Macaca mulatta: one gene and its partners. The main gene of each other region encodes a partner of the protein of the gene in region 5 in a complex. Links are inferred from orthologs where the notes say so. Each region holds a gene or a part of one and is shown on either strand. Other genes may lie near its edges.

The links.
Region 1: TMEM67 (region 5) and AHI1 share a complex: the UniProt entries of both Homo sapiens proteins name them as parts of the tectonic-like complex. The link is inferred for Macaca mulatta from reciprocal best matches to the Homo sapiens genes TMEM67 and AHI1.
Region 2: TMEM67 (region 5) and TMEM231 share a complex: the UniProt entries of both Homo sapiens proteins name them as parts of the tectonic-like complex. The link is inferred for Macaca mulatta from reciprocal best matches to the Homo sapiens genes TMEM67 and TMEM231.
Region 3: TMEM67 (region 5) and TMEM107 share a complex: the UniProt entries of both Homo sapiens proteins name them as parts of the tectonic-like complex. The link is inferred for Macaca mulatta from reciprocal best matches to the Homo sapiens genes TMEM67 and TMEM107.
Region 4: TMEM67 (region 5) and CEP290 share a complex: the UniProt entries of both Homo sapiens proteins name them as parts of the tectonic-like complex. The link is inferred for Macaca mulatta from reciprocal best matches to the Homo sapiens genes TMEM67 and CEP290.

The regions. Positions count from the first base shown.
Region 1 is NC_133409.1:40,601,989-40,606,904, reverse strand, and holds the start of AHI1 (jouberin), read left to right. Parts: upstream 1-1,516; 5' UTR 1,517-1,704; intron 1,705-2,037; exon of another isoform or gene 2,038-2,099; intron 2,100-4,916. UniProt on the Homo sapiens protein: Involved in vesicle trafficking and required for ciliogenesis, formation of primary non-motile cilium, and recruitment of RAB8A to the basal body of primary cilium.
Region 2 is NC_133425.1:70,905,883-70,910,982, reverse strand, and holds the start of TMEM231 (transmembrane protein 231), read left to right. Parts: upstream 1-1,700; coding exon 1,701-1,839; coding exon of another isoform or gene 1,840-1,933; coding exon 1,934-2,103; intron 2,104-5,100. UniProt on the Homo sapiens protein: Transmembrane component of the tectonic-like complex, a complex localized at the transition zone of primary cilia and acting as a barrier that prevents diffusion of transmembrane proteins between the cilia and plasma membranes.
Region 3 is NC_133421.1:9,691,787-9,696,754, reverse strand, and holds TMEM107 (transmembrane protein 107), read left to right. Parts: upstream 1-1,568; 5' UTR 1,569-1,660; coding exon 1,661-1,747; intron 1,748-1,923; coding exon 1,924-1,991; intron 1,992-2,074; coding exon of another isoform or gene 2,075-2,092; coding exon 2,093-2,193; intron 2,194-3,030; exon of another isoform or gene 3,031-3,129; intron 3,130-3,296; coding exon 3,297-3,393; intron 3,394-3,638; coding exon 3,639-3,708; 3' UTR 3,709-3,963; downstream 3,964-4,968. UniProt on the Homo sapiens protein: Plays a role in cilia formation and embryonic patterning. Requires for normal Sonic hedgehog (Shh) signaling in the neural tube and acts in combination with GLI2 and GLI3 to pattern ventral and intermediate neuronal cell types.
Region 4 is NC_133416.1:95,386,002-95,390,975, forward strand, and holds the start of CEP290 (centrosomal protein of 290 kDa), read right to left. Parts: upstream 3,401-4,974; 5' UTR 3,226-3,400; intron 3,121-3,225; exon of another isoform or gene 2,931-3,120; intron 2,645-2,930; 5' UTR 2,618-2,644; coding exon 2,516-2,617; intron 2,350-2,515; coding exon 2,272-2,349; intron 877-2,271; coding exon 807-876; intron 504-806; coding exon 457-503; intron 1-456. UniProt on the Homo sapiens protein: Involved in early and late steps in cilia formation. Its association with CCP110 is required for inhibition of primary cilia formation by CCP110.
Region 5 is NC_133413.1:104,177,124-104,181,578, reverse strand, and holds part of TMEM67 (meckelin), read right to left. Parts: intron 4,093-4,455; coding exon 4,027-4,092; intron 1,293-4,026; coding exon 1,136-1,292; intron 1-1,135. UniProt on the Homo sapiens protein: Required for ciliary structure and function. Part of the tectonic-like complex which is required for tissue-specific ciliogenesis and may regulate ciliary membrane composition.

The DNA of each region.
Region 1 (4,916 bases), on a different chromosome or scaffold from region 5:
AATAAGGAGTAGGAGTATTTGAAGGAGTCAGTCAACCTGCTTAAGATTCGAAGGATGGACAACATTTGACTGTGATATGCAGTAGTGTAAAAGGAGGAATTTTCAGGAAGAGAGAACAATATGTGTAAGGACAGGGCGTGCAAGGCTATGGATTGTTTTTCATAGTACACATAATTCAATGTTGCATAAAACTGCATGATACACATGATTCAATATTGCATAAAATTGGAACAATAAGCTAATGAGAGATGAAATTAGTCAGGGAGATGGAGCATATTGTATCCTAGGCAAAGCAATCATTTTCTCTTACACGTTGCCTTTCAAGAATTTTCAGCAAGAGAGAGCCATTATCCGATTTACATTTTTAGTCAGGACATTCTGATAGCAGTGTGGGGAATTTTAAGAGTCAAAACTGGAGTCACAGGACTGGTAAAGCGCCCACCTGAGGAATTTAAAAAGAGAGAATGAATATGCTTTGGTATAAGATGCATTTAGAATACTCTACAGTTCTTACTAAAACACTGGGAGCAAGTGTTTGACACTTGATAGTGCAAGATTACAGCAAGATAGTGGTGGCTTACAGCAAGATAGAAATCTAGGAGAGTAGGTTTAGAATGCAAAGTTGAACAGCTCAGTTTGTACACAGCGGATTAGTAATCTTTCTCGTTGCTTCCTCAAAGGATTTAGGGAAGCACATGGCATAGAGATATAGTTTGTAAGGTGTGGCAATGCCAGTGAGAATGGAAAAGCTGGCCTCCATAAACTCTCTCTCTGTACAAACGAAGCAACAGGTTACAGCGCGTGGCTGTAGGTACAGGAAATGGCGTGTATTCATGAGTCCACGAGTAGCGCAACTAGTATTTTTCCAGCCCTGGTGACTCAGAGCTGAAGATGGCGCCTGCGGCAGAAATCAGAACAGTGGGAGGGAGCGTTAGGTACAGAAAAGTATGGCGTTTTAACTTTTGTTTTCCACACACAGGGAGATAGCTCTAAAGGAATCGTGCATAATTTTTTCTTAAGATTTTGTCTGTAGTACAACTTCATTTTCCACGCTTTAAAATCATGTTTTCTTTTGTGGGCGCGACCGCGTGGGGAGTGACAAATCTGTTTATTTGCCTCATTCATTGATTTTCTTATTTTGGGCGACTTCCATAACAGCCTCCCCAGTTTTCCTTTGCCCCGTCAGTTTTTCCCTGCGCTTGCTACAATTCTAAGGCGGAAAGAGTATTTTTGGAGGTGAAGGCGGGGAAGACTCAAGCTCTGTGGGAGCACCCGCGCATTTCCGACTCCCTTCCCGCTCGCACGGCCTCGGAGGCTGGAGGCCCGTAAGGTCCCCGAAGCGCGCGCCCACCAACAGCCTGAGGGCCCCGGTGCAGGCGCCGCGCGGCCCCTTCTCCCGGGCGGAGGCGAAGGCGGTGGCGGCGCGGGGGCGGGGGCGGGGCCGCGGTCCGGGCCTAGCGCGCGAGACGCGTCGGTCGCCATGGGAACGGCGGTGTAGGCAGGCGCTGACGTCAGCAGGCCGCGAGTCGTCCGCACTGCGGCACAGAGCAGTGGCTTGCTCTCCGAACCCGGGTCCCTGGCGGGTAAGGTGGCTTCGTGGCCGCCTCACTTAGCGCCCGCGCCGCTGGGCGCGGGGGAGTCGATTTGCACTGTTCCGGGTGTCGGCTTGGGCGGGACGGACGGTTCTGCCTACTCCTCCTCTCCGTAAGTACCTCGTGGGTTCGCTGGTGGCGGGAGCGCGGGCCGGGGTGCTCGGCCTGCCCGGCCCTCTCTGGGGCGGCGTGTCGGGGCTGCTGGAGTCCGAGAGCGCGGGGGCTGATCGCGGATTGACCGGGGAGCGTGGGCCGGGTGTCCCGGAGGAATGCGATTTCCCGGAGTCCTCAACGTACTTTTCCGCTTCTTTCACTGGTCTCGGTGTCTCCGGAGAGTTGAGCATGGTGTTCTGATAGGGAATTCAATCTTTGCCTTTCCTACTCCCGATTCTTGTTTAAATGCTTTTAAATCAGATGCGTACTGAGTGTGTTTATTTCCTTTTAGAGTGTCATCCTGGGGCTGAATCTTCAACCTGTCAAAGCCTACTTAATTACGTCTGAGAAAAGGTGATCAATTTGTTAAACTTATAAGAGCCAGATTATATTAATAGGGTTGTTTCGAGATGCATAAAAATAGAATAAAAATGTAGACCATTTAAGCATCCTTATCAAAGGTTGTGCTGCGTTTGGCATTCCTGTGAAAACATCTAATGTGAAAATAAAGTTTTTCCCTTTTGAGAAAGAGATGCCAACAGTTTTTTCACCTGTTGCATTAGCAGTTACTGTTATTGCTTGGTTTAGGAGGAAGATTGCTTCTTATGAGTACTCTGGGAAATTTTTTAAAGAATGCTTGAAAAAATTAAAATACCAAAAGTGTTTTTAAACCATACTTAGAATCTTGTTTATGAAGAATAATATTTATGAAGTTAGAATCTTGTGTACTTATGAAGAATCTTGTTGATCTATTCATTGAATGTTGTGTACAGGATTTTTGTTTGTCTTTTTTTCCCTTGCGATAACATTTGGTTAAAGAGGGAATTATCAAGCCTCTCAATTTTTTCTCCCATTGATATTGAGTCACATATTGGCTGATAATCAGGTGGTCTGTAAAATAAAATGAAATGAGGTGTAATCCATTTAATTTTCCTACATAGTATCTCTTAGAAGCTCCTGTGAAAGGGTTTGTGAGGGAGAAGTTGTAAAATAATGGAATATATAAGATTCGGAGGTTTCTTTTAAAGTCCGACCTGAATTTTCGCAGATAATGTTACTAATTAAATATTAGTCATTAATTCTATCATATGTTTGCTGTAGTACACATTAAGATTTAGAGATGGCTGGGCGCAGTGGATCAGGCCTGTAATCCTAGCACTTTGGGAGGATCAAGAGTGGGTGGATCACTTGAGGTCAGGAGTTCAGTATCGGCCTGGCTAATGTTGGTGAAAACCCATCTCTACTAAAAATACAACAATTAGCCGGGCGTGGTGGCGCACAACTGTAGTCCCAGCTGCTAGGGAGGTTGAGGCAGGGGAATTGCTTGAACCCAGGAGGCGGAGGCAGCAGTGAGCTGAGATTGTGCCACTGCACTCCAACCTGGGCAACAGAGCAAGACTTTGTCTCCAAAAAAAAAAAAAATTAGAGATGATTTCTATAATGTATTTGCTGTGTTATTAAATAATATTAGTATTTATTCAGTTGTGTATTAAGCTATTAACAGTAAATAATTCTATGATTTCTGTATTTTATTAATAATTACTTATTTTTAATACAATAATACTGGACATAAAGTAATTTTATTGCAGTGTACTCATTACTTTGCTTTTTGGTATTTTCTCCTTGCAGTACTAAAACAGGTGCCATTTTAAATTCCCAGACAAGGAAAAACCAAGGATTAGAAATTAAGTAGCTTACCCAATGCCACACATCAGTAAGTGGTGACACTGGAGGTCAAACCTGAGTCTTTTTTACTCTAGGACCGTTGCTACTGCTTCGCTTTGCTTTGCTTCTCGTGTTTTCTCTTCTCTCTCCTCTTTTCTTTCATAGTGGCAGATACATAACTATAGAGAGCATTGGCGTGGCCTCCAAAGCTAGCAGTTTGGTGGGAGACAGAACATTTAACCAGGATGAAAATTCAGGGCTGAGGTGGAGGGAGTTACAAAGATTCAGGCACCCTGGGAGCACAGAAGAGAAGTGCTTCACCGCCCTTCAAGGTGCGAATGCTCTCTAGAGAAGATACTTGCCTTCAAAGGATAATGAGGAGTTTGTTAGAGTGACAAAGGAGGAAGGACATTTTTCAGGAGAGGGGATATATGTGTAATGATACAAAAGCAAGAGAGGACGTGGCACATGTGAAGGCCTGGAGGTAGTTTCACATGGCTGGAACACAGTGTATGGTGTGAAGGGGACATTTCATAAATGGCCTTGGACCTCAGTGGTAAGGACTTGATATTTTTTTCAGTGTGTGATTGGGAGCTAGTGAAGAATTTTAAGCAAAGAAATGACACCGTCACATTTGAATTTTAGAAAATTACACTGATTGCTGTGTAGATGATGATTTATTTTTTAAAAGGGTAAGGTGATAGTGGCATGGAAACAATCTTAAAACAAACAGCATAATCCTTCCACAGTGTTTTTGTCCCAGAGTTACTGTCTCATGTCACTGCCTTTAGGGGTGGTGGAAAGACAGTTGGAAGAATTCTGTAAAGAATTGTCTACATGTCCCTTCTACAGGGGTCACCTTCCATTCACCCCTCAGCCCCAGCCTGCTAGGTTTCTGCCCCTCCATAAACAGCTTTGACACACGTGACTTCCTTCTTGCAGATTCAGTGGACTTTCTTCAAAACCTCCAGCCCCTTTTGATGCCACACAGTATATAGGCTACATCTCCTTTAAAACTCTTTCCTTCTGTAATGCTTCTGTCTCCCCGTTTTTTACCTGTCTCCCTGATTTTACTTTATATTGTGGGCTCTCAGGATTCTCATTGGCTTTTTATTTTCTTGCAACTATCATATTTATAAATAACTCCCAAATCTTCAGCCTAGGGTCTCCCTGCTGGATTAATAGATTGCCTAATAAACATAATATGATTATATACATAAACACAGACACACACATGTGACAGTAATAACAATTGTTCTTTTTGAAGGGTTTGCCATGTGCTAGGCATTGTGCCAAGTATTTTACTTGCATGTTCTCATTTAATCTTTGTAAAAACACTGAGTGATTTATTATTGTGAAAGATTAGGAAATTGATGTCCCTAGAGATGAATCTGCTGGCAGGTAGAACTGGTATTTGGATCCAAGGATCTGACAATGGAAGCTGATGCTTGTAGCTGCTCAGTGCCCTTCAGATACCCAACTCAACATGACCCACACTAAGCTTAG
Region 2 (5,100 bases), on a different chromosome or scaffold from region 5:
GCATGATCTCAGCTCACGGCAACCTCCACCTCCCAGGTTCACGCCATTCTCCTGCCTCAGCCTCCCGAGTAGCTGGGACCACAGGCACCCGCCACCACGCCCAGCTAATTTTTTGTATTTTTAGTAGAGACGGGGTTTCACTGTGTCAGCCAGGATGGTCTCGATTTCCTGACCTCGTGATCCACCCACCTGGGCCTCCCAAAGTGCTGGAATTATAGGCGTGAGCCACCGCTCCCGGCCAATTTTTGTATTTTTAGTAGAGATGAGGTTTCACCACGTTGGCCAGGCTGGTCTTGAACTCCAGACCTCAGGTGATCGGCCCAACTTGGCCTCCCAAAGTGTTGAGATTACAGGCATGTGCCACTGCGCCCAGCCATTCAGGGCCATTTGATGAAGAACTTGGCTGTGGACCATAGTTGTTTTTTTTAAAGTCCTTCTACCATGTTCGAAATATGGTTGGGGGCGGTGGGGGGTGTAAGCATTCAATTAAGCAATATGCCAGTGATCTCTGGGGAGGACCACAGCTTCCTATAAAACTCGCCGCTGAGCTTGTACCCAACACAGGGTTAACAAAGTGCATCAGAGCTTTGTAATATTCCACTCTATCCCTCCAAGAGCCAGGGGATTTGTGTTTCCGTGTCTTGTCTTGCATTGGAGCATAGTGGAAGCAAGAGAAAATCTGGGAGCAAAGACACCTGGCTTTGGTCTTAGCCCAGGACCAGGTCCAGGACCGCGGCCAGGCTTGTGACTGAGTGGATTTCAGTAGGAACTACACTGGGGATTAACAGATGACACAAAAGCAGGTGTTTGTTGTGTGCAGGAGCGCGAGGGGAGAAGAAAAGGCACACACACAATACCTTTAAGGGTAAGCAAGCTTTATCCCACGTAAATGGCAATGCAGATATTATAATAAGCAAATTAATATAATAAGCAGATTGATATAAGCAAATTGCAATGGGAAGAGGAGAAGGAAAAAGACATATATATATTTACACTCATCAGACTATGGAGGATTCACCTCCAGACTGGGAAGCAAGAGCCTGAGCTCCAGAGCCGGCCACTCTTCAGTCAGTGCCCAGATGAGAAGAGGTGTCATGAAGCTTTGGGTGGTCTGGGATCCTAGCTCTTTTTGTAACATGTTGTCTGACATGAGGCCCAGTCACGAGGGCCCTTCGTGGCTGGGCTCAAGGAACACAAAAAGGTCAACTTGTTTTTGTGATTGTTGTTTTTCAATAACTAACGTATAGGAATAGAACGAAATAGAGATTTCTGCGAAACAGCGCTGGATGAACGCCTCAAGGGGCTCCCACAACCTGTTTCGGAACTTGGTGACCATTGTTTGTGTCCATGTCAGTTCAAATTTAAATATTTAATTTTTCCTCCTCAGTGTTCAAGTCAACTTTTATGGGCATCTTATTTTACACAAATGTTAACACAGACAACAGCCACGACTTTGGTCCACGGAAACGTTCTATCGCCGCCCAGCCTTTACGCAAAGGGACACAGCTTGAAAAGCTAGGCCGGCAGTCCCCGGCGGCGCCACGCCCGCTAACCCCGCCCTCGCCGCTGGCTCCTTTCGGTCTGGCCTTGCTATTGGCTCCTTTCCGGGAGCCGTCGGTTGCCGTGGAGACCGAGGCGATGGCAACCAGGAGAAGCCAAACTTGGTCCTCCGGCTCGCGGCGTGCCGGCGCGCGGTGCTCATGGCGCTCTACGATCTCTTCTCTCACCCGGTCGAGCGCAGCTACCGCGCGGGACTCTGCTCCAAAGCCGCGCTGTTCCTGCTGCTGGCCGCTGCGCTCACGTACATCCCGCCGTTGCTGGTGGCCTTCCGGAGCCACGGTGAGCCTGCCCCAGCCGCTGTGTCACGCGACTCCCCGGGCGCGCTCGGCCGGGGCCGGCCTCCCTGACGGCCTCCCCACCTTCTTTAATTCAGGGTTTTGGCTGAAGAGGAGCAGCTACGAGGAGCAGCCGACCGTGCGCTTCCAACACCAGGTGCTGCTCGTGGCCCTGCTGGGACCCGAGAGCGGCGGGTTCCTCGCTTGGAGCACGTTCCCCGCTTTCAACCGGCTGCAGGGGGATCGCCTGCGCGTCCCGCTCGTTTCGGTGCGTGGTTCCCGCCTGGGCCTGGGGCAAAGCGGGCGGTGGGGTGGGGACGGGGACGGGAATGAGGATGTGGGGCGAGCGGCCCCGGCCCTGGGGAACCCAGCTTGGATCCTAAGGACTCGCGAACCCGCAAAGGTGGCGTTTCATCTCCTGGGACCTAGGGAATCGATTTTCTGTTTCATTCTGCTTCTCCCAGACGTCCCCGGCCCCCAGAAAGTTAGCCACGCTGTCAGCATATGCGCCCTGATACAGAGTCCAGAGGTGTGGAGGCAGCCTGCGTCTGCCCCCGTCACACCCGCGGGCCTGGCCTGATGGAGGGTGTTTGTGAAAGTCCATTTAGGAGCCTTGAAGGCAGCGCGCTGTTAATGTAGGTAACCCCATTCTGTCGCGGCGTTTCTGCATCACACCACTGTAGGAGCGGAAAGGGCGGCATTTTTATGGAGCCCTGACCCCTGGAAACCAAGGCGCTGATTGGTTAAGCGGCCTTCCCAGAACGCGCTATGGCCGAGTCACGCCTCCCTGGGTTTGTCCCATTGGAGACTGCGTCATCCTGAAGCTGTCGGGATGAAATTGAAGCATGTTACTGTCTGTAGTTTATTTATTTATTTTTAAATTTTTCATCAGTAGAGTGCTGAGAGGAATCTGTAATTTAGTATTTGCTTTGAGATAAGCGAATGCTTCCTTTATAGTCACTCCTTTTCACTCATTTTCTGAAAACGTTTTCCTTTAGAAGTATGACACTTACGGTTTTCCTTCTTTCAAAGTTGAATCTCTTCAGACATCTCTAAGATGATTGCCCTACAAGCCAACCTTGTATAGCTGAGGAGAAAAGAAAATCAGACTTGTTCCCAGCAACTAAATAAAATTGTTTTTAAAAATCCGATTGGGCCGGGCGCGGTGGCTCACGCCTGTAATCCCAGCACTTCGGGAGGCCGAGGCGGGCGGATCACGAGGTCAGGAGATCGAAACCATCCTGGCTAACACGGTGAAACCCCGTCTCTACTAAAAATACAAAAAATTACCAGGCGCGGTGGCGGGCACCTGTAGTCCCAGTTACTCAGGAAGCTGAGGCGGGAGAATGGCGTGAACCCGGGAGGCGGAGCTTGCAGTGAGCCGAGATCGCGCAAGTGCACTCCAGCCTGGGCGACAGAGCGAGACTCTGTCTCAAAAAAATAATAATAATAAATAGAAATAAATTTTTAAAATCCAATTGGTCATATAAATAACTGCAAAAAAAAAAAAGAATAGTAATAGGTTGGCGCAAAAATAATTGCGGCTTTTGCCATTAAAAGTAGTGGCAAAAAAACCGGAATTACTTTTGCAACAACCTAATATGATTCAGGTTACTTTTCTCCTGTTACTTTACGAATGTTCTTATGTTCTGATTACAAAAGTGCATGCTCATTCTAAAATAATATAGAGTTACAGGTAGATATAATGACCAAAATTGAAGGCCCAGTTTTGTATATGTATCAATACTTATTAATCAGCCATATTCTTTTTGAGGTTTGTTTTGACTTTTTCACTATTGGGGACAACATTTCTTTTTTTCTTTCTTTCTTTTTCTTCTTTTTTTTTTTTGAGACGGAGTCTTGCTCTGTTGTCCAGGCTGGAGTGCAGTGCTGCAATCTCTGCTCACTGCAACCTCCACCTCCTGGGTTCAAGCAATTCTCGTGCCTTAGCCTCCCGAGTAGCTGGGATTACAGGCTAATTTTTGGATTTTTAGTAGAGAAGGGGTTTCACCATGTTGGCCAGGTTAGTCTCGAACTCCTGACCTCAGGTGATCCACCCGCCTTGGTCTCCCAAAGTGCTGGCATCACAGGTGTCAGCCACCGTGCCTGGCCTAGGGACAATATTTCTGTGAACAAGGTTTTGACTAAATCGTATGCCTTTAAACATCAGATTGTGAGGAATTGGAATAGCAGCTCTTTGATGAAATTAGGTAAGTACATAGAAAACTAAGCAAATCATTATTAACTGCAGGGAAATGAAAAGTAAGGAAAACTGAGAACTGAAAACTTATGAGAGTTGTGAATAGGATTTACATAGTCTTAATTATATGAACACTGAATGTTGACTAAAAAGAGATTTTAACTCTGTTGGGGGTAATGAGAAAGGTATTGAGAATGTGATAGGGGATGGTGGGAGGAGTTGGGGGAGAGAAGAAGCTAAATCATCTTTCCTTGTGGGAACTCAATAGAGAATGCCTAAAACTGAGAAATTGAGAATTTTCAATGCAAATGTTATCTCAAGACCTGGAGATACATTTCTAAATGATCAAGTAAATGAGATAAAAATATTTGCAGCTAGATATGATAGCTCACACCTGTAATCCTAGCACTTTGCAAGGCCAAGGCAGGAGGATTGCTTAAGCCCTGGAGTTCAAGGCCAGTGTGGGCAACATAGCAAGACCCCACATTTCAAAAAAATAAAAAGTAGGCTGGGCGTGGTGGCTCACGCCTATAATCCCAGCACTTTGGGAGGCTGAGGAGGGCGGATCACAAGGTCAGGAGATCGAGACCATCCTGACTAACACTGTGAAACCCTGTCTCTAGTAAAAATACAAAAAAAAAAAAAGTTAGCTGGGTGTGATGGCGGACGCCTGTAGTCCCAGCTACTTGGGAGGCTGAGGCAGGAGAATGGCGTGAGCCCAGGAGGCAGAGCTTGCAATGAGCCGAGATCCCACCACTGTACTCCAGCCTGGTGACAGAGCAAGACTCCGCCTCAAAAAAAATAATAATAATTAATTAATTAATTAAAAAAGAAACCGAGAAGTGGTACAATTTGCCCTAGCTTTTTTTTTTTTTTTTTTTTGAAACAGAATTTCACTCTGTCAGCCAGGCTGGAATGCAGTAGCACAATCTCAGCTCACTGCAACATCTGCCTTCTGGGTTCAAGCGATCCTCTCACCTCAGCTTCCCAAGTAGCTGGGACTGCAGGCATGCACCATCACTCCTGGCTAATTTTTTTGTGTTTTTAGTGGAAACACGGTTTCAC
Region 3 (4,968 bases), on a different chromosome or scaffold from region 5:
AGAATAAATGCCCTATTTTTATAGAATTATAAATGCCCTACTTTTATAGAATTATAATTCTAGCGTTTCCTTTTTTTTTTTTTTTTTTTGAGACGGAGTTGTGCTCTTGTTGCAGAGGCTGGAGTGCAATGGCACGGCTCACTGCAACCTCCACCTCCCGGGTTCAAGCGATTCCACTGCCTTAGTAGCTAATCGAGTAGTAGTAATCGAGTAGCTGGGATTACAGGCACGCGCCACCACATCCGGCTAATTTTGTATTTTTAGTGGAGATGGGGTTTCAGCATGTTGGTCAGGCTTGTCTCGAACTCCTGACCTCAGATGATCCGCCCTCCTGGGCCTCCCAAAGCGCTGGGATTACAGGCGTGAGCCACTGTGCCTGGCCCGCGTATCCCTGTTTGTAGCACCTATTATCTTACGGATTTATTTGTTTGCATGTCTGTTGTTGATCTCCCTGACTAGAATACTATTACTAGGTAATAAATAAATATATAAAAATATTTGTTGAAGGAATGAGAAATGCCTCTTGGGCTTGTACTTTAGTCTGGCTAAAGGCACTGAGACGTCGAGTGGGAAGTAGGAAGATATTGTTCTCCTGGGAAATGGGCCGGGAGTTTCCTTGAGGATGGGACTTGACTGAGCAATTAGAGAAGAACTTTCAGATCTGCAGGGACCTGCGCTGAGGCCCAAAGGTCATGACGTCGCCGGTGATAAGAGCTTCCTGGACTGTAGCTGGGCAATGTCGGAGGTCCAGCACCTCCAAGAGATAAAGAAATCTAAGTTGAGTTTCCCTTCCCGTAGGCTCCAAGCCTCCCAGAGACGCAGGGACTGTACCATTCCCTTCGTCCACTCCCACCTTTCCAGCCACCTTGCTTTGCTCTTATTCCCACGCTAGTTTAAGGACGCTGACCACTTTTTGCACTCTGCAAATCCTTCACCAAACTGAGCAAAGTAGTCTGAGAGAAATCAGTCTTCCTCAAGGAAGGTTCAGGCCTAGGGTCCTCAGACAACCAGGGGCTCTGTGACAATCTGTAACTGCCGAGCAGTCCAGGAACACCGGCCTCTCCACGTTCGGGTCCCTTGTTTCTCAGGCCCAGCTTGGTGGGAAGTTAAAGGCATGAGGAGAGGAGGAAGGGGAGCGGGTGTGAGTCTTCGGCATGGCGGGGACCTCAGCCCGGCGTGGCGGTGGGAGTGATCTCAAGTGATCCACAACTGGGCAGCGTAGCTGGGGCTGGGGGCCGCTCCCGGCGTGGGCAACCGCGGAAGCAGAGGTGTCCCCAGGCTAGGCCAGGGTGGGTTTCCGTTCGTCGGCCCTGCGTGGGCAGATCGGGCGCTGCGGGGCTGTGCCACCCCTCACCCTCTGAGAAACAAAGGGCCTGGCTGCGCACGGGTACCCAGCCATTGGGTTAGAAGCTCCTTCGGGTACCCCTGACCTGAGTTAGCCCTGAAAGACCCACAGCAGATGGAGAATGTACTGCTCTCGCGAGGTTTTCCGAGAACGCGGCAGCACGCCCGCGTACGCGGTTACCAAGGCAACTGGGCGGTGCCTGAGCTGGCGGAAAGGAGGAGTTCGTCTAGATTTGTCCGCTTGCTGGTGGACTTGCGGGAGTCGCAGTCTCTGAACTTCCAGCCTCAGAGACCGCCGCTCTTGTTCCCAAGGGCCATGGGCCGGGTCTCAGGGCTTGTGCCCTCTCGCTTCCTGACGCTCCTGGCGCATCTGGTGGTCGTCATCACTTTATTCTGGTCCCGGGTAAGACCCACGGCTGCCCTCCGTCCGCCCCCATTCCCATCTCGGAGTCGTCCCCGCCCCACCCTGCCCCTCTCCCAGTGTCTTACCCACTTGGGTTTTCTCGTGTTCCGCCGTCCCTAGGCCTGCCCAGCAGCCTGCCCCTTTTTCACTTCTCTTCCTCTCTGCCCTGCTCCCAGGACAGCAACATTCAGGCCTGCCTGCCTCTCAGGTTCACCCCCGAGGAGTATGACAAGCAGGACATTCAGTGAGCTCTTGGGACGGGGTGGCCAGAACGAAGAGGTGGTGGGAGTGGAGGGGTCTTAGAAGAAGTCCAAAGGCCTGGGCCAGTCCACTTCCTCTCTGCAGGCTGGTGGCCGCGCTTTCTGTCACCCTGGGCCTCTTTGCAGTGGAGCTGGCCGGTTTCCTCTCAGGAGTCTCCATGTTCAACAGCACCCAGAGCCTCATCTGTATCCTTTCTGCCTGCCCACCTTTCCCACACGACCCATTTCTATCAGGACTCCCTTCAGCCACCTGACACAATAGTGTCTGCTGTAGCCAGTCTCTCCAGTTCAAAGATCTTCAACCATGTGCTAAATCCTGCTGTTTACTAGGCACTTAAAATTCCGAAATGAGAGTAAAATACAGTTTTTGGCCAGGCACGTTGGCTCACGTCTGTAATCCCAGCACTGTGGGAGGCCCGCGCAGGAGGCAACATAGTTAGACCCCGTGTCTACAAAATAAATAGTAATAATAAAAACTCCACTTTTTTTTTTTTTAACCATGAGGAGGTAGATACACATCTGTAATTCAGTGTGATAAGCAGTGTGCTATGGGAGTGTGTAAAGATAGCACAGGCAGGGTGCGATGGCTCACGCCTGTAATGCCAGCACTTTGGGAGACCGAGGCAGGTGGATCACCTGAGGTCAGGAGTTCAAGACCAGCCTGACCAACATAGTGAAACCCTGTCTGTACTAAAAATACAGAAATTAGTCGGGCGTGGCGGTGCACTCCTGTAATCCCAGCTACTCAGGAGGCTGAGGAAGGAGAATTGCTTGAACCCAGGAGGCAGAGGTTGCAGTGAGCCGAGATCGTGCCACTGCACTCCAGCCTGGGCGACAGAGCAAGACTCTGGCAAAAAACGAAAGATATAAAGCACATTGGGAACTCAGAAGAGGCAACGGAAGCCAGGCACATGGGTCAGAGAATTGTGGACCAGGAGGACCAGGACACTGGAGGCTGATTCCAGCGCATATCAAGTCGCTGTCAGCACTCCTGTGTGGCATAGCAGGAGAGCCTACTCTTACCTCTCATCTGAAGGATCCAGGCTGGCCCCTAGATATGGAGTAGGGTAGCCTGAGATCCCATCTGCGCAGTCACTTCTGGTCTCTCCTCACATGACTGTCCTAAAATTCAGAAGTCGGGGATGCTGACTCTAGCCCTTGCAATATGGTGAGGGAGCAAACGATGAACCTGAATGCAGATGCCAACCCCACCACTGGCCTTTGGCCTTTTCTGACCCCTCACTATCTGTCGATCCAAAGACTTTCCTTAACTGTGGTGCCTTCTCAAGCCATTGGGGCTCACTGTAGTGCATCCGTGGCCCTGTCCTTCTTCATATTCGAGCGTTGGGAGTGCACTACGTATTGGTACATTTTTGTCTTCTGCAGGTGTGGTAGCATCCAATATTCGGGAATGAGGGAGGAAGGCTGACCCTAAACCTGAGGGTTTTTCCCCTACCCAGCCCTTTCCTCTATGTGGGAGATACCAGATCCACTTAACATCCTGTAGTCTTTTGAATTTTCATTCCCTACCCCATGCCACCTGTCCTACACTTTCAGGGGTGGGGTCTCTGGTTTGGAGATTTGGGTATTTATATTGAACGGGTTTCTGAATCTACCACTTGCCTCGGTAGTGCCCTTCCAGCTGTCACTGAAATGACTTTATTCGTCACCGTCTTTGGGCTGAAAAAGAAGCCTTTCTGAGCACCTTCATGACGGGAACCTAAGGACGAAGGCTACAGGGGCAAGGGCCGCTTCGTATTCCTGGAAGAAGGAAGGCATAGGCTTCGGTCCTCCCCTCGGAAACTGCTTCTGCTGGAGGATATGTGTTGGAATAATTACGTCTTGAGTCTGGGATTATCCGCATTGTATTTAGTGGTTTGTAATAAAATATGTTTTGTAGTAAGATTAAGACATATACAGTTTTCAGGGCACAATTGAAATGGCGAAACTACTGAAGAAAAAAAAAGAAGCAACGTTATTTTCTAGTTCTGCAGACCGTAAGATACTTGGTATCGCTTCTATTTTGGTTATTACGGTAGTTGTCTGGCGGAAGGGAGTGGGCGGAGATATGTAAATAGAAAGTGCTTACAGTTAGAACGTCCAGCACGTAAATGATCGGAGCATTCTGGGAAAAAGAAATTTATTCCTTTTCGGCAGCCGAACGAAAAAATTCTTTTAAAAATGTGCAAGCAAATATGGCAATACAACTGGAAGGATGCTAAGTAGTAGGGTTACTTATACCAACGCGTCGTGAACTCACCCTAGCTGTAAACGGAATCTTTTTGACTGAGTGCGGAATGTCGGCTATTTAGAAATATCGTCAGGTGGGATAATCCTTACCTGTTCCTCTTTTGGAGGGCAGATTAGAACATGATGATTGGAGAATGCATGAAACGTGATTAACGTCTCTGCGTAATCAGGACTTGCAACACCCTGATTGCTCCTATCTGATTCTTCCTGACGATCGCTTATGTTTCTGTTATGTTGATTGTTAGTTTAGTTAATGTAGTTATCATGCGGTGCAGGGAATAGTTTTCGTATTTCGCTATTTTGTGATCTCGCCAAATTTACCTGGTTTTGAAAATTGTGAGTTGTATTTGTTGCTTACTGGGACTTAGGAGGTAGGATTGTGCAAATGGACTCCCGTTGTTCTTTGTCGTTTGATACTTTGACGCTTCACCTCTTCTCAGGAAACACTGCACATCAGTAAAAATCTGTAATCTAGTGCACAGGATGGTTCCCCTTAGGATGATACTCATTCAATAGGAACGGTTTTTGTTTTTTGTTTGTTTGTTTGTTTGTTTGTTTGTTTTGAGGCAGGGTCTTGGTCTGTCGTCAGGGCTGGAGTGCACTGCACTGATCTCGGCTCACTGTAACCTCTGCCTCCCAGGTTCAGGAGATTATCCTGCCTCAGCCTCCCAAGTAGCTGGGATTATAGGCAGGTGCCACGATGCCCGGCTA
Region 4 (4,974 bases), on a different chromosome or scaffold from region 5:
AAGGAAAAGGGTATTCCTCCTTTCAAAGGCTGATCCATTTGCATTACATTCCTACCTTCTCAGAAGTCTCTATGTATTTTGTTCCTCAACAATATATTCATATTTTAGCCCTCAGCTTTGTCAAAAATTACTTCTATAACACCCTTTGGTAATTATTCCTCAAATGCCCACCCACCCTCCACCTCAGTTACTAGTAATCTTTCTGTATATTTCCCAAGACTGTAAGCTCCATTCAGCAGTTAACTGCTTTTTATTTTGTTCACAACCGTATGCTCAATCCTTAGTACAATATATATATAGCACATAATAGGCATGTAGAACATATACTGAATAAACAAATAACCATGATTACAATCATCCTTATCATTTTTCCAGCCAATAATAATTTTAAAATTTGAAAACAATTCAAAATAAAATTAATGACAATTACATCCTAGGGAACACAAAAAGACATACCTCCAGTTCATTTTCCAGTTTCATTACTTTAGTTTTTAATTGATTTTCTATTTAAAAAAAAAAAAAAGACAAATGTTTTAATTGATTAGTTACCACAGAACAAACTTTTACATAAATTTTAATAACAAAATTAATTCTTTTAAAAGAGTCCATCATGATTATAAGGTAACAAAAAGTATTATACGGCAGATCCATAAAACAGGAGTCTAGAAATATGTATTATTAAATAAATGTTATATATTAAAAATAAATTGAATATATACAGTTTATAGAATTTAATTTTCTACAGCTTAATGAACAAATGGAACTCATTATTTAATAACATAATAAACTTTTTCCAAGGTGCTTACCAAATTTTGCTTGTTCTTCTCCAGCTTTTTCTACTTCCTCCAAAGCCAGCTCTACTTCTTGAGCTTTCATCTAAACATTTAAAAAAAGTTTATTTCAATATGCCTTTAAACTGGAATGTAAGCACTGAAAATAAAAATTTTGTTTTCTTATGCTCATTAGTGCCAGCAATGGCTGGCACATGGAGACTTTCAGTAAATATTTGTTGAATGAATAAATAATTTTTTCTCTCCTTTTTTTTCGCTTTTGAAATAGGGCCTCACTTTGTCACCCAGGCTGGAGTGCAGTGGCACAATCTCAGCTTACTGCAACCTCTGCCTCCTGGGCTCAAGCAATCTTCCCATCTCAGTCTCCTGAGTAGCTGGGACTACAGGTGCATGCCATTATGCTCAGCGTGCCATCATGCTCGGCATGCCATCATGCTTGGTGTGCCATCATGCTCAGCAAATTTTTTCGTAGAGGCAAGGTCTCACTATATTATCCAGGCTGGTCTCCAACTCCCAGCCTCAGGCAATCCTCCTGCCTTGGCCTCCCAAAGTGCTGGGATTATAGACGTGAGCCACCATGCCAGGCAATTTTCTTACTTAAGACGACAATTTCTAGATTTTTAATAGCATGAAACATTTTTGATTCTCCCTTTTACCTCAAGTCCTCAAGTCTTATATCCAGTAAAGCAACATATCTCTTTGTAATGTTTTTCCACTACTTTTTTTCTGTTCCAATTGCTATTATTCTAATGCATAATTTCAGGTTTAAACTCCTCTATAATGTGATGTTTGCAAAGCTCCGATTTCCTTCAGTTTGTCCTATATAATAGACTCAGTTTTGCCTTCCTAAGGCCTATTTTTGTACCTATCAACTGTGGTTCGAAAACGCCTTCTCAATTGCTGACAGCATAAAATACACCTTTAATGACCTCAAGAACCTATCTCAAAGTACCTACCCAAGATTTGTTTTCTCTACAGCCTGCTACAAACTTGCTGCACCGCATTTCCTCAAATGTAAAGAATAAACTTATTTCCTATCCTCAATATTTATTTATGGTAACCAACAGCTCTAGAATTCCCTTACTATCTTACCACTGCATTACCTTCCACTTACCTAAAACTACTCCTCAGTATTCATCCTCTGTGAAGTCTTCTGACACCTCTTAGATCACTTCCCCTCTTAACAAATCCCTATAGCAGTCATTGTCTGCATTTGTCATTTGGACCTCAGGATATATTTCCTTATGTTATTTTTCAACATACTCATTCTATTTCCCCTACATACCCTTTTAGAAACTTTAAGTAGAAACTAGCAATGTTTTACATACTAAAATACTTAATCTACATTTAAATATATTGCACTTTTGAGGGGTGATGTAGATATTACCAAGTATTTTCACAAAGATTACTTTATATAAGAACAGATTTTTATAGTTCCTCTAATAGCCAAACCTATCATTAAAACCTACTACATACAAACCTTCATTAGTGACTGAGTAATTCTGAAAAGGTGTATCACATTTTCTTGCTTTTCACTTTTTAGCTCATTTACTTCCACCTAAGTAAACAGAAAAGCAACTGTTTTATATTTTATAACCTTTAAGCAAAATATAAGAACTCTTCCAGATTGTGACAATTAATAGTTGTTTCTGAAAAAAAAATTCATATTTTATTAATAATCATAAGTTAATGTATATATCTATTATTATTGACCAAGTAAGCACCTTGGATAAGGAAATCAATAAATTATCTGCCAGTTCTTCTTGACGGGGCAGGTCATCTGGGTCAACTTTCATTATTTCTTTCCAGTTTATATTAGGTGGCATCTTGAATTCTTTCACTGTGCTCCACCTCTGTAACAAAACAGGTGGATATTAGCATTTTCAAGGTACACAGCATTATTGGTTTTCTAATAGCCTACATTTTTTGCAGATTATTTCATTATAACTTTCTTATGTTAGCAAAGAACTATGCCTTAGCCACAAAACAGACAAGTGGGCAAAATAGCCTTGATCAAAAATAGCAGTCGGCACAAACTGTCAGAGAGTGTACCGGCTAAATAAAATGTGACGGCTTCCTTGCTAACACTAATATAAGTTAGGACTAAGATTTCTGGGTCCCTTCCTCCACACCGCCTACCCACAACGCGCGCGAACACCCTAATCTTGGCAAGCGCGAGGGTCTGTGGAAGGCTGACAATGATCCTTGATTTGGAGAAGCAGAATTGGGGCTGGAAAAAAAAAAAAAAAAAGAAGCAGAAATTAACAATTGGAATGAGTGAAGTTGTGCGGCGGAAACCGGAACCGAAGTAAGGCAGGATTACGGACCCGAGGCTGGAAGGGACGGGGTAGCTGCGCTGCGGCACACGGGCCCTAAGGCTAAAGAACCTGAACGTGGAGTGACTCGCTGATCCTGCTTACAGGGATCCACCCACCTACACCAAGCCTGGCAACCAGCGGAGGTCCCTCACTACCACAACCACCAAGCTGGACAGATCCCTATCGCGGTTCCACGCGGACTCTGGGTCCAGCCAAATGGTCCCCAAGGAAGCCAAAGCGGCAGCGGCTGCTAAGCGACACCATCCCTAACTCCGCCGGGGCCAGAAGAAGATCCCGGATGCAAAGAGAGCCTACAATTCACGACCGTGGGTGATGCTTTACGTTTAGATTCTCCGCCGGAGTCCCAGGACTCGGTGTTCAGGATGATGAGAAGGCGTGGAACGAGGACTCCAAATCCCAGAGTGCAGATGTGCCTGAGGTTTGTGCATGCTGGGAACTGAAGTCCCTGAGAAGAGGAGATAAGGCGCTCCCGGCGTGCAACGCGGAAGGCTGCGACGGTACCGGGGCGGCGGGGAAGGACCGAGAGGCGGGAGGCGCAGTGGCTGAGGCGCCTACGAGCTGGTGGCCTGAACGAGGTAGACCATGACTGTGGCTTTAGTGGCGTCACTCGCTGGGCCGCTCTTCATGAGGTTTTCCTAAGCCATCCCCTGGCGGAACCGCTTCCAGGTGAGGTCGAGCTGTGGGTCAGCGTATCAGGAGGAGTTGAGGGCAGCAGTCTGGGTTAGAGAAGCTTCTGCTATTGGGGCCGTAGGGCCTGGCCCCATTCTGAAAAAGTGGAAACACCCTGCCTTCTCTTCAGGCGTTTGCAGGCGGCGTCCAAGGTAGTGCCTTCTGTAAGAAGGAAAAAACAAAAAGTTTTAGCCTTGTTTAGTATCAGAATCTTTCTTGGTAGAGTGAGAGCCGCGCAGCCGTGATCCTCGTTTGGGGGCGAGCGAAGAATTGACAAGAGGTCTCGGCATCCTCTGACCCCGCCAGCCTTACCTGTAGCACCATTCCCTTCGCAGATGGTGGGACTTGATGGTTGTGGAGCTAGTATAAAGGGAAGGCTCTAGAGAGGAGAGGTTAGTGCTTGTCCGGGCCACTGCCGGGGGTGGAGAGAGAAGGTACCCGAGGACTCACCTGTACTATTGTCACTGCTTGGTTACCTAGGGTGTCCTTCCATGAAAGCGCCTTCTCTGGTGTTTACCACGCTTACTTGTGCAAGTTTTGCTCATCTGCTCATAGCCATACTGGAGTGCGATACACCTCTAACTAACTTTCCTAAGAAGCTGTAGATTTAAATCTAAATGACATTTCCAACTATCTGTACCAGTGCTTCTCATCTTTCTTTTTTTTTTTTTTTAACGCTGCTTTAAAAAAAATTTTACTATACTTGATGGTAAATTTTCCTTTCGAAAATAAGTAATGAATTTCTTTTTAAACTCCCAATTTGGGTAAAATAAATAGCTCAGTACAAAATAAAAATATACTGGTTTTGTGAGATAAATTTTAAAGACATTAGTTAGATTTATAGGAATGACAATTTTACTACTTTTCTGAAAGATTTTATGCCAAATACTATTCATTATCTTGTTTATTCTTCCTTACAATCCAGTGAAATAGGTGCTTACGTTGTCCTCATTTTCCATCTAAGTTAAGAAACTGAGGTTTGGAGAAGCTAAGTACTCTAACTTAAATAGTGTGATTGAACACAGATCTCTCTGGCTGGAGGACATATTCTTAACTTCTATACACCTCCTCAGACATTCTGGGAAACCAGTATTTGTGAAGTGCTTGTGCCTCAATCTTGCTGTTTTTATTAAATGTTATATTTTAATTTTGTACGTGTTTACTCAATTAATTTG
Region 5 (4,455 bases):
AAAAGAAAAAAGTTTACTGTACAAATTTAAAAGATAAAATTATTGTTTTAGATAAGATGGCTGCAAAAAGCTACTAGTATAAGAAACACCTGACAATGGCCTTCTCTAACTCATGTGAATGTCTTCTGATTTTTTTTTTTTTTTTTTTTTTTAGAGTCTCACTCTGTCGCCCAGGCTGGAATGCAGTGGCGCAATCTTGGCTCACTGCAAGCTCTGCCTCCTGGGTTCACGCCATTCTCCTGCCTCAGTCTCCCGAGTAGCTGGGATTACAGGTGCCTGCCACCACACCCAGCTAATTTTTTTGTATTCTTTAGTAGAGATAGGATTTCACCATGTTAGCCAGAATGGTCTTGATCTCCTGACCTCGTGATCTGCCTGCCTCAGCCTCCCAAAGTGCTGGGATTACAGGCGTGAGCCACCGTGCCCGGCCTCTTTTGTTTTTTTTTAGACAGGGTCTCACTCTGTTGACCAGGCTATCGTGCACTAGCATAATCATGGCTCACTGCATTCTCAACCTGGGCTCAAGTGATCCTCCCACCTCTGCCTCCAGAGTAGCTGGGACTACAAGCTTGCACCACCACACCAAGTTAATTTTTTTTTTTTTGTAGCAACAGGTTCTCATCATGTTGCCTGGGTTGGTCTTGAATTTCTTGGCTCAAGCAATTCTCCCCTCTTGGTCTCCCAAAGTGCTGTGATTATAGGTGTGAGCCACTGCGCCTTGGACTTGAATGTCTTCTGATTGTTTGAACTTTGCATAAATTTGGAAGGCTTTTCCCTGCAAATTACCTGAAAAAGCGGAATTTTATAATATGAGTAATAACAAAAGAAACTAATTTGTCCAAAAAAGCATATTCAGGACAGCTTGAAGAAAAAGCCCCAATTTACAGTTATACTAATGTTTCTCAGGATATACCCTCAGCAACAGTATAATTTCTTCACGATATGTCTGGTAATAAAATTAGTAAAAGTTTCTAAATCCACCATCAATATATTGTTTTATTTTTTGGTACATTGTATAGAACCATATAAGAGAGAATTCATGACCTTTCTTATGTGGTTTATTAAATTATCGTGTAGGTTAACTTATTTATTGATTTCTGCTCAGGGAAAAAAGTGGTATGTATGGATGTCTTACCTTGGTTCACAAATATCTTATTGTGTTGAAGATTTAGGTTTAACACAGGCACAGCCAAAATATATTGATGTTGATTTTCATCAGCATATTCAAGGTACACATCATAAAATATAGGAGTGGGAAAGTCAATTAAGATCTTAGAGATAGGAATCTCACACTGAAAAGTAAAATTAAAAATAAAAGCACATAAAACAGCAACTTAAAGTACTAAAAAGCAAAAAAAAAAAATCACAATTGAAAATTAGCAAGCATATTTATTATCTTCAGAATGTTTTTCTAGTTGTGCAAAATATCTTTATACTACCTTGTTTATATGCATTTCCATTTGCCTTCCAAAACCTGAATACTGTAAATATGATTATTTTATAAGGACCAAAAACACTAATAGTAAATAACTGCTTTGAGAACTTTGAAAACTTCTTAAGCCTCAACTCAGATGAAGGAGGTATGTTTTCATTCTCAATATTAAGTGTACATCAGTGAAAAGGTTTAAAACTACTGTCCTATGGGATAAATTCCCAATTTTTTCTCCTGCTGTACAATGATGTCTATGATCTGCCTTCCATTAACCAAGCCAGGTTTCTCTCTCATTACTCCCTATCTGTCTATGGTGGTCCATTCATACTAATCTACTTGTAGTTTCTAAATATGCCATGCTACTGTATGCCTCTCTGTCATTGCAAATGTGGCTTCTGTCTGACATTTCATTCCCCACTGTATTCTCCTGGAAAACTCATATTCATTATACAAGCCCAAGTATCACTTACTTTGTGAAGCCTTTCTATACTTCCCCAGGAATCAGTACCTTATACAAACCTATAGAATGACACTTACATTCTTTGCAATTCTTTGTCTATATAACTGTTTTGCCTACTACACTATGAAGAACTTGAGAGTTGGCCAGGTTCAATGAAATAAAAATGCTTTTTAAACCTGATGGAACATTGGCTCCACAGTTTATGTGACACAAGTCTTTGAGTAAATTACCTAATTACCTGGCATAATTTCCTCATCTGTGAAGCACAGATATTATGTATCTCACATAGTTATTTTATGAATCAAATGGAATAATAATGATAAAATGCTGAGCACACAGAGACAGGCATTACATAAATGTTGATCTTTCTGGCCTATGTTAGAAGCACAATAACATTTATTTTAAAAACAACAACAACAACAACATGTAAATCATTTCTGACAAAAGAAGTAAATTCATGTTCATGGTAGAAAATTTGGAAATTATAAACAAGAAAACAAAAACAATTTCTGACCCCACTATCCAGAGGTAATCACTGTTAGTAGATTCTTCCAATCTACTTTCCATAATGGTATTTTTTGTTGTGGTTTTGTTCTATGGTTGTGTGTGGAACTTTATCAAGATATATTTTTACAGACTAATGAATTTATATGGTTTGGCTGTGTTCCCACCTAAATCTCATCTTGAACTGTAGTTCCTATAATCCCCATGTGTCATGGGAAGGACTGGAGGGAGGTAATTGAATCATGGGGGCGGTTACCCTCATGCTGTTCTCATAATAGTGAAAGAGTTCTCATGAGATCTGATGGTTTTATGAGGGGCTTTTCCCTTTTTTGCTCAGTATTTCTCTTCCTGTCACCATAAGTTTCCTAAGGCTTCCTCAGTCATGCTGAACTGTAAGCCAATTAAACCTATTTCCTTTGTAAATTACCCAGTCTCGGGTGTGTTTTTATTAGCAGTGTGAGAATGGACTAATACATGCATGTCTTTCAAGTATTTAATGGCTCATAATATTCCTTAGTAAGATAATGTAATTTCAAAATAGGTACCAAAGTAAGGAATGTCAGAGAAGGAAGGAGAAAGAAAAAAATGGAGGAAGATGAAGGAATTATTTTTGTTTGTTATTAGGGGGTAGAAGAAGGGAGTAACCTTTATTAGTCATTTAAAAAAAAGTAGCATTTTTACGTTATTTCAAAATGCTCAGAAGTAAGCATTACTTTTTAAGACCTATAAGCCTAGAAGCAGATAAACAATTTATTACGAAGATGTATTATATGATGTTTAAGACTCTAGGCTGGGCGAGGTGGCTCGCACCTGTAATCCCAGCACTTTGGGAGTCCGAGGCTGGTGGATCACTTGAGGCCAGGAGTTTGAGACCAGCCTGGTCAACATGGCAAAACCCCATCCCTATGAAAAACACAAGAATTAGCTGGGTGTGGTGGTACATGCCTGTTGTCCCAGCTACTCAGGTGGCTGAGGCACATGAATTGCTTGAACCCAGGAGGCAGAGATTGCAGTGAGCCAAGATTGCAGTGAACCAATATCGCACCACTACACTCCGGCCTGGGCAACAGAGTGAGATTCTGTCTCAAAAAACAAAACAAAACAAAACAAAACAAAAACCTCTATAGATAACAAGGTGCTCTGTTTATGCCACTGAAATTAAGCTTTTCTGTACCCAGGTAATAAAAAATTATATTAATTAGTGAAATTATTCATCACTATTAAAAACATTTCCGGCCAGGCACAGTGGCTCATGCCTGTAATCTCAGCACTTTGGGAGGCTGAGGAGGGCAGATCACCTGAGGTGGGGAGTTCGAGACCAGACTGACCAACATGGAGAAACCCCGTCTTCAGCCGGGCATGGTGGCACGTCTGTAATCCCAGCTACTCGGGAGGCTGAGGCAGGAGAATCGCTTGAACCTGGGAGGCGGAGGTTGCAGTGAGCTGAGATCGCGCCACTGCACTCCAGCCTGGGCAATAAGAGCAAAACTCTATCTCAAAAAAAAAACACAAAAAACAAAAACAAGAAAAAAAAATTCCAATCTCAAAATTTAAGTATTATTCCAATTACTGCTGATATGATATTTTGAAAAATAAAGCTAAAATATAGTCTAATATAGTTCAAACTTACATTTTGTTGGTAGGTTGTTCCAAATGAATAAGCAGCATTTAGCCTTGTTTCTGTGTCTGGACAAAGCTACAGTAAAATAATACAACACATAAATATCTCTCACAACTGTTTTCTATTCTTATACTCACCCAAACATGGATATATGCTCTACATCATACTTATGTAATGTATCAAGGATATGAAAAGTTAAGGGAACATCTGTTATAAATTAAAGTCATAACTTTAAAGAAATAAAGCTTTGCCAGGCACGGTGGCTCACGCCTGTAATCCCAGCACTTTGAGAGGCCAAGATGGGTGGATCACGAGATCAGGAGATCAAGACCATCCTGGCTAACACGGTGAAACCCCGTCTCTACTAAAAATACAAAAAATTAGCCGGTGCTGTGGCGGGCGCCTGTAGTCCCAGCTACTCAGGAGGCTAAGGCAGGA